Linked DNA regions of Neurospora crassa OR74A. The protein of the gene in region 1 purifies or fractionates together with the protein of each later gene. This does not show direct contact. Links are inferred from orthologs where the notes say so. Each region holds a gene or a part of one and is shown on either strand. Other genes may lie near its edges.

Evidence for each region.
Region 2: the proteins of NCU09696 (region 1) and NCU03485 purify together in Saccharomyces cerevisiae (affinity purification with mass spectrometry; 5 studies listed by BioGRID, with this or other methods). This does not show direct contact. The link is inferred for Neurospora crassa OR74A from reciprocal best matches to the Saccharomyces cerevisiae genes SRP54 and SEC65.
Region 3: the proteins of NCU09696 (region 1) and NCU02405 purify together in Saccharomyces cerevisiae (affinity purification with mass spectrometry; 4 studies listed by BioGRID). This does not show direct contact. The link is inferred for Neurospora crassa OR74A from reciprocal best matches to the Saccharomyces cerevisiae genes SRP54 and SRP14.

Annotation. Positions count from the first base shown.
Region 1 is NC_026505.1:805,984-810,099, forward strand, and holds NCU09696 (signal recognition particle protein), read left to right. Parts: upstream 1-1,202; 5' UTR 1,203-1,504; coding exon 1,505-1,582; intron 1,583-1,697; coding exon 1,698-3,155; 3' UTR 3,156-3,685; downstream 3,686-4,116.
Region 2 is NC_026502.1:523,951-527,453, reverse strand, and holds NCU03485 (signal recognition particle sec65 subunit), read right to left. Parts: upstream 2,195-3,503; 5' UTR 1,984-2,194; coding exon 883-1,983; 3' UTR 619-882; downstream 1-618. Other genes in the region: NCU03486 (hypothetical protein), read right to left, coding at 2,885-2,998, 3,054-3,503. UniProt on the Saccharomyces cerevisiae protein: Signal-recognition-particle (SRP) assembly has a crucial role in targeting secretory proteins to the rough endoplasmic reticulum (ER) membrane.
Region 3 is NC_026507.1:2,612,528-2,615,827, forward strand, and holds NCU02405 (hypothetical protein), read left to right. Parts: upstream 1-1,227; 5' UTR 1,228-1,381; coding exon 1,382-1,405; intron 1,406-1,487; coding exon 1,488-1,566; intron 1,567-1,738; coding exon 1,739-2,070; 3' UTR 2,071-2,670; downstream 2,671-3,300. Other genes in the region: NCU02406 (nuclear protein), read right to left, coding at 1-797, 887-956. UniProt on the Saccharomyces cerevisiae protein: Component of the signal recognition particle (SRP) complex, a ribonucleoprotein complex that mediates the cotranslational targeting of secretory and membrane proteins to the endoplasmic reticulum (ER).

The DNA.
Region 1 (4,116 bases):
TACGAGCATAAACACAGACACGGGAATGACGCTTATCCATTCCGATTGATGGTATTAAGGGTTTGAGGGTCAGAGGGGGGTCAGGGAAGGATTGGAAGGACTGGAAGCGATCCTCAAATGCCCCTGTACCTTGGAAGGAACTTCTACACCTAGAACAGACAGACAGAACAGACAGACAGACAGACAAACAGACAGACAGACAGAGACGGAGAGAAAATGAGTGTCACTGCATGCCGTTCATGCATTGATTCGGAACGGAGATCCCGAAGTTCGAGACGACACACTTTTAGTAACCTGCTGCCTACACGTCCAGTCATTATAGTAGTCATTGCGACCGACAGCATCTTGAGTAAACCAACGTCGGAAACCCGAGAGCGATAATGCTGTTGGCCGCGATTCTAGGTCAGATGTATCCGCACAGATTAAAATGTTTCAGTTCACGATGGTGCATTATCCAACGAGAAGCTTCCGTGTAATTTCGCGCGCTCTTCTCTCTCTCTCTTTCTCTCTCTCTCTGTCTCTCTCTCTCTGACAGTGGATTAAATATTGTGGTTGTATTCATCAGGACAAATTCGGCGGTTTAACCGTTAAACTTGGCAACAAGCACGATTCTGCAGGAAGCTCAGCATACCTACCTAATAAACTGATCGTTCAGACACAACGTGATCACACAGCAGGAACCTCACTGCATTTCAGTTTTATGCCTACAAGCCAGAGAAGCGTTTCATACTTTGCAGAAGAACAACTGTGAGCCAAGAAAAGACAGAGTTGCAGTAGGTGTTCGTGGGGTTTCCTGGTTCGAGAAATCTAAGTGCCGGCCGAGTGGGATAGATATGACGCTCGTAATAGAACCAACGAACTGTTTGACCGTTTAGATCATGGGGTTTGAACATGTTTCCTCTCCTTGTCCGACATGTCTTCTGTGCTTCTCTTCTACCGTGTAGGTTGTTAAAGAGGTATGTCCCCCTTTCGGTGATTAGTTGCCTGTCCTCGCTTATCGCTTATCACTTATACAGATAACGCTTTGGCAGCCGTCGGACAACTGCCATGTACCGCCAAGGCCAGAACCTCGACAAACGCCAAGCCCTGCTCACCGCCCGTGGGGTCAGGCAGGCCTATGGAGGTAGCGGCGAACTGCCCCACCATAATCCGCCCGCCAATCGTCCCCGGGCCCCGATGCCCGTCCGCGCGGCGGTCCTGCCCTGAGCTTGCCAAGCAACTGCAGAGGCAGTTGTCCGTTTCAATGCCCGACGGGATCCACCAAGAGAGAGAGAGAGAGAGCCCCAGACAGCACCGAGTGGCCACCGACCGATGACCGAAGCGCATCACTTCCACTTGTGACTGAGCAACAACTACCACCACCCACCAATTACCCACAGCTGAACGACCTCTGAGCAGACACTACCCACGTCTTCGAACACCAAGACGGCGACGACCATTTCCTAGAAACAACACAACCTTTATACCCCTAGTCGGCTTCATAGCCGCCACATAATCAACAGCCATGGTTTTGCAAGATCTAGGTCGCCGCATCAATGCGGCCGTCAGTGACCTAACACGCGCCCCCAACCTCGACGAAAAGGTAAGCTTGGATATCTGTTCGGTTGTCTGGTCTTCCCCGGACTGCGTTTGGTTGATGCTGTCACATCCCCTAGCAGTCAGCCAGTCCAGATCGCTGACCATCGTATGATCAACAGGCCTTCGATGGCATGCTCAAGGAGATCTGCTCTGCCCTTCTCGAAGCCGATGTCAACGTCCGTCTCGTCGGTCAACTACGCAAATCGATCAAATCCACCGTCAACTTCAAAGAACTACCACCGGCCGTCAACAAGAAGCGATTGATCCAGAAAGCCGTCTTCGATGAACTCGTCCGTCTCGTCGACCCCCATGCCGAGCCCTTCAAGCCAAAGAAGGGCAAGTCCAACGTTATCATGTTTGTCGGTCTCCAGGGTGCTGGTAAGACGACAACATGTACAAAGCTCGCCAGACACTACCAGTCGCGCGGTTTCCGCGTCGGTCTTGTTTGCGCCGATACCTTCCGTGCCGGTGCTTTCGACCAGCTGAAGCAGAACGCGACCAAGGCCAAGATCCCCTACTACGGCAGTTTGACGGAAACAGATCCCGTCGTGGTGGCGCGCGATGGTGTGGACAAGTTCAAGAAGGAAAAGTTCGAGATCATCATCGTCGATACGTCGGGTCGTCACAGGCAAGAGGAGGCGCTCTTCCAGGAAATGATGGACATTCAGACGGCAGTCAAGCCAGACGAGACCATCATGGTGCTCGATGCCTCTATCGGTCAACAAGCCGAAGCCCAAGCCAAGGCCTTCAAGGAGGCTGCCGACTTTGGTGCCATTATCATCACCAAGACCGATGGCCACGCCGCGGGTGGTGGTGCCATCTCGGCCGTCGCTGCTACCCACACCCCCATCGTCTTCATCGGTACTGGTGAGCACATGCTCGATTTGGAGCGTTTCGTACCCAACAACTTCATCAGCAAACTCCTCGGCATGGGCGACATGGCTGGCCTCGTCGAGCACGTCCAGTCCCTCAAGCTCGACCAAAAGGACACCATCAAGCACATCACCGAGGGCATCTTCACCATCCGCGACCTGCGCGACCAGCTGCAGAACATCATGAAGATGGGTCCCCTCAGCAAGATGGCTGGCATGATCCCAGGAATGAGCAACATGATGCAGAACATGGACGACGAGGAGGGCTCGCTCAAGCTCAAGCGCATGATCTACATCTGCGACAGCATGACGGACAAGGAACTCGACAGCGACGGCAAAATCTTCATTGACCAACCGACGCGTATGACGCGTGTTGCCAGGGGTTCCGGCACGACGGTCAGAGAGGTCGAAGACCTGCTTACCCAGCAGCGCATGATGGCTGGCATGGCGAAGAAGATGGGCGGCAACATGAAGAACATGCAGCGTGCCCAGAGCGCCATGGGAGGCGGCAACAAGGCGCAACAGCTGGCTGCCATGCAGAAGCGTCTGCAGAGCATGGGCGGCGGTGGCCAAGATATGGGCGGCCTGATGAAGATGCTTGGCGGCATGGGCGGCGGTGGTGGTATGGGTGGGATGGACATGAATGCCATGATGAAACAAATGAGCGGGTTGATGGGAGGTGGCGGTGGACGTGGGAGGAGGTAAAAGGTTGAAGGAAAAAAAGAAAAAGAGGGTGTGTGTCAGTCGGTCGATCGACTTTTAATGGGTTCGGTTCTTTTTCTTGCTAATGCGTCGTCGTCGGTTCGTCCATTTCGTTCAATTCTTTTTCCATGGCAGTAGCAGCAGCAAAAGAGCTTGCATCATTCTGGCGTCTGGAGTATATACTGTAACAACACACAACGAATAACGGGAAACTTGACTTGGCTTGGGGACATGCGGTTGGATGATATAGCAAAACAGACCTGGAACTCTTTTTATTATTATCCACGATCTACCTTAATCATGACCATGACAGCGAGACCCGGAGACATTCTCAAATGCTGCTTCTAAGGCGACGTTCAATGTGACCGTTGTTTGGTATGAGGACGATGAGTGAGGGCCAGAGGCATTTGAACCCCGTGAACGCCTCAACCGCGTGGCACTTATTTCGGCGATCCTGCGATTAGTCTTACGTTGTTGTTCCTTTTTGACGCTTTTATATAAATTCATTCTGTCCCATTTCTTTGGTTCGTTATAGTTCGATATTTTTTTCGGCAACCGTCTGTCCTTTCCCCCTCGGTTGGTTTGCTTATGTCTGATTTCTTCATAGGGCTGGCAGTCAACCGAATCTTTGCACGGCAAGTGGTAAATATCCCTTGATATAATACGGACCAGGCGGCACAGTTCGGGATGTATAAATTCGAAAGTCGTGGCTGCTTCTACTGTAGTCAGTGTGGGCTTATGCACACTTCATAAACACATCCCACCAACCACCGGAAGCGTAAGATCAAGTGGTAAGGGGTGAGATAGGAGGGAGAAGAACCGAGATACCCCTGAGAAGAAATGATAGAAGGAGGACTTGACTCTGAATTTCGTTCGTTAAGTCCGGTTCAAGCGCCCATGTATCTATTCCATCGTCTAGTTCTTCAACATCTATCCCCTAAATCCCAATTTTAATGCTGTAATA
Region 2 (3,503 bases), on another chromosome or scaffold:
GTTGACCTCAGCCTCCGCTCCCGGCACAACACCCTCACGCCGCTTTTGAGAAAAGGCGTCTTCTTTCGAGGGAAAAGGAGTTCTGGGAGTCGCCGCCGCCGCATTATCTTTGAGGTGAATCTCAGTCTCGGATACCACGAATAACCTCTTCAAATACTCAGCTGTTGATAACAGAGTGGCGTGGTAGAGACTGTATTCGTTGATGGGTTCAGGATTCTGATGGACTGAGTGAGGCGCATGAGGGAAGGACTAACCAAGGTGATTAGCGATGGGGAAGTACCTAGACTCCCACGTAGGATAAAGAGGAAAGGTGTTGGTTATTGGCGGAACTTACCATCGCTCATTGTGCTCAAAGACAACCAGGAAGTGTTCGGTTGTTGTAGTTTATAGTAGGCTCCCCGACTACCACCCTAAAGTTCGACGAATAAAAAAAGTAACAGGTAACTGTGAAGTTATTGCAAACACAGAAGCCGAAAAAAGCCCCGTGAGAGCAGATCCCGTTTCGAGTAAACAAAAACGAAAACTTAAAAAAAAAATTTGGGGTAACAAGAGCATCATGATCCTTCTTATCATATACCTCTACCTCTCTAAAAAAAAAAAAAAAAAAAAAAAAAAAAACCTCGACGGGCGGTAGCGGACTGATTTACCTAGGCTGTTAGCTGGTCTCATCTATTTTGTTTCGGACGAGCCGGCCACGGGGCTTCGTTAAAAAGTACATGGTATTATCGTTTTGGTAAACTGCTTTCTGCGGTCTACGCTGTTTGTTGTTCATTATGTTATACGGCAAAGCGGGAAAAAGGCTTGCTGGCAGGTTGAATCTTTCTCAATCATGAGCATCGCTCTCAACTCCTTTCACATCTTCCCACCCCTAGACTTAGCACCCTATTTCTTTCCCTTCCCCTTCTTCTTCCCCGCCGCCTCACTTCCACTCGCCCCCGGACTCGTCGCACCACTACCTCCCATCCCACCCATCCCCCCCAACATATTCGCCAACCCACCCAATCCTCCCATCCCTCCCATCCCCTGCAACAAGCTCGCCATATCCGGCATCCCACCCGCTCCCGCTCCCGCTCCTCCTCCTGGCATCCCCGGCATGCCCGGCATCCCACCAGGTCCCATCTCCTTCATCATATCCTTCAAGAAATTCTCACTGACCCCACCGCCCGTCATCGCCGGACTATAGTACGGCAACAGCTCACTCATCTTCCACCCCCTCGGCACCGCCGGCCTCGGCCACTTCTTGCCTTCCTCCAGCATTTCTCTAGGCGGGGGTCCCGCGCCCCTCACCACGACCCTCAGCGCCGGACTCTCGTCCGTCGTCGGGTGTTTCTTCAGATGCTCCGCCACGAGGATATACAAGTGGTGTTTATTCTTCAGCTTCCCATTCTCGCCATGCAGACGGATGAATTCCTTCAGGTTGACTTTGACGCGGCCCGGGTTGGCCCAGTCCTTGGGGTGCAGCTTGCCTGCCTCGAGAACGACGGAGAGGCGGAGCTGCGCGCAGGCGTTGACGATCTCGGTCGCTAGCGGGTTGGGAACAGCTAGCTCCTTGGATACGCGCCGGCCTTCGGCGCGCGAGCGCGTGGCGTCAAAGTAGCATGGGTACAGGCACTGGAAGGATTTGTAGGCCGAGTCGTCGGTGGTGGTTTGCATCTGGGGGTAGCCGGGGGGTTGGGTGTACTGTCGTTGTTGTTGTTGTTGGGAATATTGTGGGGGAGGGACTTGTCGTTGTTGAGCGGCGGCGGCAGCCTGGGCGGCCTGGGCAGCTTGGAATTGTTGGTGTTGCTTTTCGGCCTGCGCGCGGTGGGCGGCGGAGAGAGGGGTGAAGGAGGGCCCGGGCATGACTTTGGAGGCGTAGGCGGGAGGAGCGTCGCGCTGGACGAGAATGTCGGATTCGGCAAAGTCGTCAATGTCGCCCTCGGAGGGGTCGGACATTTCAAGGTCGCTGTCCTCGACTTCTTCTACCCGCGGGTGGGAAGGCATCTTGGCGGTTGTCTGTGACTGAGACTGTAGCTCTTGATCTTTGCTCGGTGGGTAGGTATTTTGGTGAAGTCAAACTCTGAATGCGCAAATACAGCTGAGGCGACTAGGTCTGTGATAATTATGGCAGGGGGGGGGGGAAGTGGAAGGTCGCGGTGGTTGAACAGATGAACCAACAGCTCCCCGTGAGTTGTTGGAGAAATGTGGGGTGGCCCGTCCAAGCTGTCGATGTGGTTTCAATTGAGTTGAGTGGGGTAGCCGGCCGGGGGAAATAAAGTGGGGTCCGTGCACACGGCTCCGGGCCGGCAACGAATTAGCGGCACCAACCGCCAACCTCGAGTCAACTTCACCAAGCATTTTCATGTCCAGGTGATACTTTGCGTTCTTATGAATATGCTTTTTCCAAAATAAATCTTGTGTTGATGCGTGTCATCTGTACCTCGCCATGCATTTAGTCGTTCTAATATTTGGCACATTTCGGAAGTGATCTCGTCCAAGTGTACTTGGAACAGGTATGTACTAAGCTAACAAACAAACTAGATTGTATTTTGTACGTCATGTTCCTCCGCTGTTTAGCATCCGCAAACAACAAACAACTCAAACTATCTCCTAAATTCTGACTCCTGATTTGAATAGACTAGAGAAATGATCAGTTCGCAAAAGGCAACAGCCACAGCAAGCCCCTGAGCGTGAAATCCGTTTCTTGGTGCCTTTCATCTCAGATGCCTCCTATTCGGACAGCTCGCCATCGCATTCCCTTCGCTGAGAAAGCCTCCTCTTCGATAAATTTCTTTTCCCAAACTCTTTTTGAGGAAACCCCCTTCATCAGATGGGTCTTCACTCGCAGACGCCCATCTTCTCCACACCGCGTCAGAGCTCCCCTTAAAGCTACGTCGTTCCCTGTTTAAGAGAAGTAGTCATAGGTCTTTGTGCTTCTGTACTTCGTGCCGGGCGGGTGATCGGCATCCTCAAATTTGCAATAAGGATGAGTGCAGACACCGTCCTTGACGTTGGGGCACTGTGATTACGGTCAGCACATAACCAGAACTCGAGGCATGATGAGTGAAACTTACGTGGTGTCCATAAATACAATCTTCGACATCGCAATCCTGGCCGCTGGTGCAAGGGTTCAAGCGGGCCAAGAAGGCAATAGCGTCAATCTCTTCTTTGCTAGGCTTATACTTGTGTTCGAAGCAGCAGGCGTCGCCCTTTGAACAGGGACCCCTTAGATAATGATTGTTGCAAAGTTTGTTGTTGTCCTTCCTTTTCTTGATACTTTCCAGAGCAGCTGGTGAGACCTTGATGGGCGGGTCCAAGCCACGAGGACCGGGGTTCCAGGCCGGCTGCTTCGGGGTGGCCGAGGCACGAGCATTTGCGTTCACAGGTCTAGGCTGGATAGGAAGCGTGATCTTGGGCGGAGGGCTCGCGTTTCCAATAGCTCCGGCATAACTAGCAGTTGCGTTCGCGGGCGTAGACGTGGTGGAGCTGGTGGGAGTCGGAAGATTGCCGTTGCTGACAGTAGG
Region 3 (3,300 bases), on another chromosome or scaffold:
ATCGCCTTCGACCATGTCTTCGTCTTGGTCAACGTCGTTGTCTTCGTCCGAGTTCAATCCCTCTAAGAGATCGTCCAAGCCATCGTCCTCTTCGTCCAGTTCGGAGACTTCATTTTCTTCCTCGTCTAGTTCGAATTCCTTCGTCTTCTTGGCCTCTTCCGCTTTCCTCCTTTTCGCCGCAAGCCACTCATCCGCTTCGGACTTCCGCTTCCTTTTCTCGGCTGTTTCGTCGTCTACGCCAGGAAGGCCTTCTAGTAGATCAAGAAGACCATCCTCCTGGAAGGACTTGGGAAGCGATTTGCGTCCCTTGATGCCGAGCTTCTTTTCGAGGTCTGCGATCTCCTTGTCGTCTTGCGCCAATCGTTCCATGACAGTTTTTGAGATTTTGGGCTGCGACTTCGATATGGTTTGTGTTGGGACATCACTTTCCTCTTCATCGTCCACGTCTTCGCCGTCTTTGTCGTCTTCTTCGTCGAGGTCTAGCTCATCGTCCTCGTCCTCGTCAAGATCGATATCGCCCTCGTCATCGAAATCCTCATCATCGTCCTCTTCGAGGGCAACATCTTCATCCTCATCCTCCAATGATCGTTTCTTCCCGTTCTTCAAGATGGGCTTGGGTTCCTTTGCTTCCTTTGACGATGCGGCATCGACCTTCTTCTGTGGTTTTGGGGCTGTAGCGCGCTCGGTATGGTAACTTCTTGTGGACGAGGTGCGGTGAATCCTTTTCTGTGTTCTCTCTGCTTTACGGCGATCCTTTCTAGACTGAAATTGATTCTTGCGACCTCCGTGAGATTGTCCTGCAAGAGTTAGGATTTCGTCGGAGAACCCTGATTGCCAGGCAGGAATGACAATGGCTGTATGGGCGCATGAACGGAGGCACGCTCACCTTCTACGCCGAGCTCCTTCAGGAGGTTGTCAGGCAATTTTGGAGCCTTTATCCTCATGGAGGGTGCCATGTTGTAATATGCGCGTGCGGAGGTGTAGATGTGATTGATTGGCACGACCTCCAAACTTTGCAAGGCTCTCTCGTCCGTCGCTGCATGGAAGAGCGCGGGATCGGGACCTTGCTATCGTTATCAGATAGTTTTTTTGGTTATCGGTCGGTGCAGGGTTCCAGGCATGTCGACTGCGGGGCCAAGAGCGCCAAGAGATGAAGCGGGTCCTCCGCTGCTTGGGACCCCACCCGGCTGGTTTTACGCTGGGGAAGCTCACTCCTACCAGACAGACGGGAGCTGCCCGGCCAACAGCAGTGGGGAAAGCTGCCACTCTCGTTGACTTTCATCAATCATTCTAGGTTGCCTTCACATTCACTCCTCAGCCGAATTGTTGTCTTGCCTTTTGCAAACGAGCATAAGAAGAAGACGAAAAACAACTGGATATCATGGGTCATTTAACTCACGATGAGGTAATGTTATATGTGACTGGCTGCTGTGATCCCGTCCTGAGGAGACCATGCTAATCTGACTTCAACCGACTATGGTATATAGTTCTTCTCCAAGCTCACCAATCTGTTCGAGTATAGGAAGAACCAAGATCACGGAACCATCAACCTAGTACAAAAGAGGCGTACGTGTACCTACACCAACCCAGCGCAGACAGGAAACTTCACACTCGGCTTTGCTATCGTCACGACAATCCTCCCAATTTCCGCTGTTTTCCAAGCTTAAACTCCATCTCCATCCACCCACGATGAGCTAAGTAGAGTGAAGCTCCGTCACCAAAGCTAACCCTCCCACAGTATCCTACAGCACCCCTTCCCAATCCACGGATACCGACCCTCTCACTGACCTCAACCCTGCCACCCCGCTCCCGGTTCTCATCCGCGCCACCAACGCCAAGGGCAAGGACAAGAGGACAGAAAAGGTCAAGCTGTCCACCATTGTCGAGCCAGCCGACCTGGAAACCTTCTACGGGAGGTACGCCGATGTTTGCAAGAAGGGCATGGGGGCATTGAAGCCGAGAGACAGGACCAAGAGGAAAAAGCAGTCGAGGAAGAAGAAGACAGGTCCTGCAGCCGCTGGAGGTCCTGGTGTTGGTGCTGGTGGGACTTCTATGATGGCTATTCCCTGATTGGACTCGAAACAAGCGTTGCAAATTACACCATTGCTGTTTCTGTCTTCTTGTGTGTACATGACCTAACGGAAGGAGGGATCTGTATGAGGGTACCGTATTAAATTTTGTAATATTCCCAAGCTTTGGTGGAATACCCTGGTTCAAGTCAGTGGGTACGCATGGTAAGGAAAGCGTTGGTGAGTAGTACCGCATCATAGCCTTCAATCTGCCACTCTCGGTTACCCTACCTCTCGACTCACCTGCTCGTAGTTGGTATTACCCTTCAAGACGACTAGCGAGAAAGGAAGGGAAGAAAAAAAAGGTGTTGGGAGAGGGGGGGAAGGGGGAATATGAAAAGCTCAGCTGCCTATCTAGCGTGCAGCGCACATCTACTATCTACGTGAGCTACTGGAGTTAATGAAAGGTGCGAACTAAAGGGATCATATGCCCGTTCTGGAGAATGTTCAGTCCTGCCGCAGGAAGTATGCGGCCCTTCGTGGAAATGGAGATGGAAGGGAAAGAGAGGAACATGAAATGAATGAGTGACGGAAGAAGCGTGAGAGAACGACTGCTGTGCCTCAACAGAGAAGCTGTTGAACGAAGGGGAGAGTAAGAGCGAGCCGAATTGATAACGTTCATATGCTTGTTCCAAATCTGCTGGCTGGCCTTCACGATCCTGTCTTGGGTGTGAACTTGATCACCGGGAGAGCGTGTATCTCCAGGTGACTCGATCTAAACGGTCCTATTAGCAAAGTTAACATTTCTCATTTGGTAAAATAACAAGACTGCCCGGGTGGAGCAGCAGCTACCGTACCCTGACGTCAAGCGTAGATATATTTGAGCCGCACTTATGAGCATCAGCTGAAGGGCAACCGGCTCACCCGTTCTCCACTCGATTCACCATTATGAAACACCACGAACACGTCACATCACGTTGGCTTCACCTTGATTGGCTTTGATTCAGGTTACCAAGAGTCGCAGTTCCAATGTTCGACCTTAATCCTAAGGTCAACCGAGATAATTGCATGTTCTCTTCAAGAGTACAGTCTAAAGGTGGGGGGATGTAGGTGAAACAAGATCAACTGTCCATTTTGAGGGTCCGAACCGTAAACAACTTGCTGAAAGAAAGGCCGAAGAGCCAAATGTCAGCCGCAAAAAGAGCAACAAGTTTCAGTGGGATTTACTTGTCCCATGTGCTAGAACTGGGCAAGGTAAAGCATGTCGCAAATTCAACTTCCTCAATCTCCT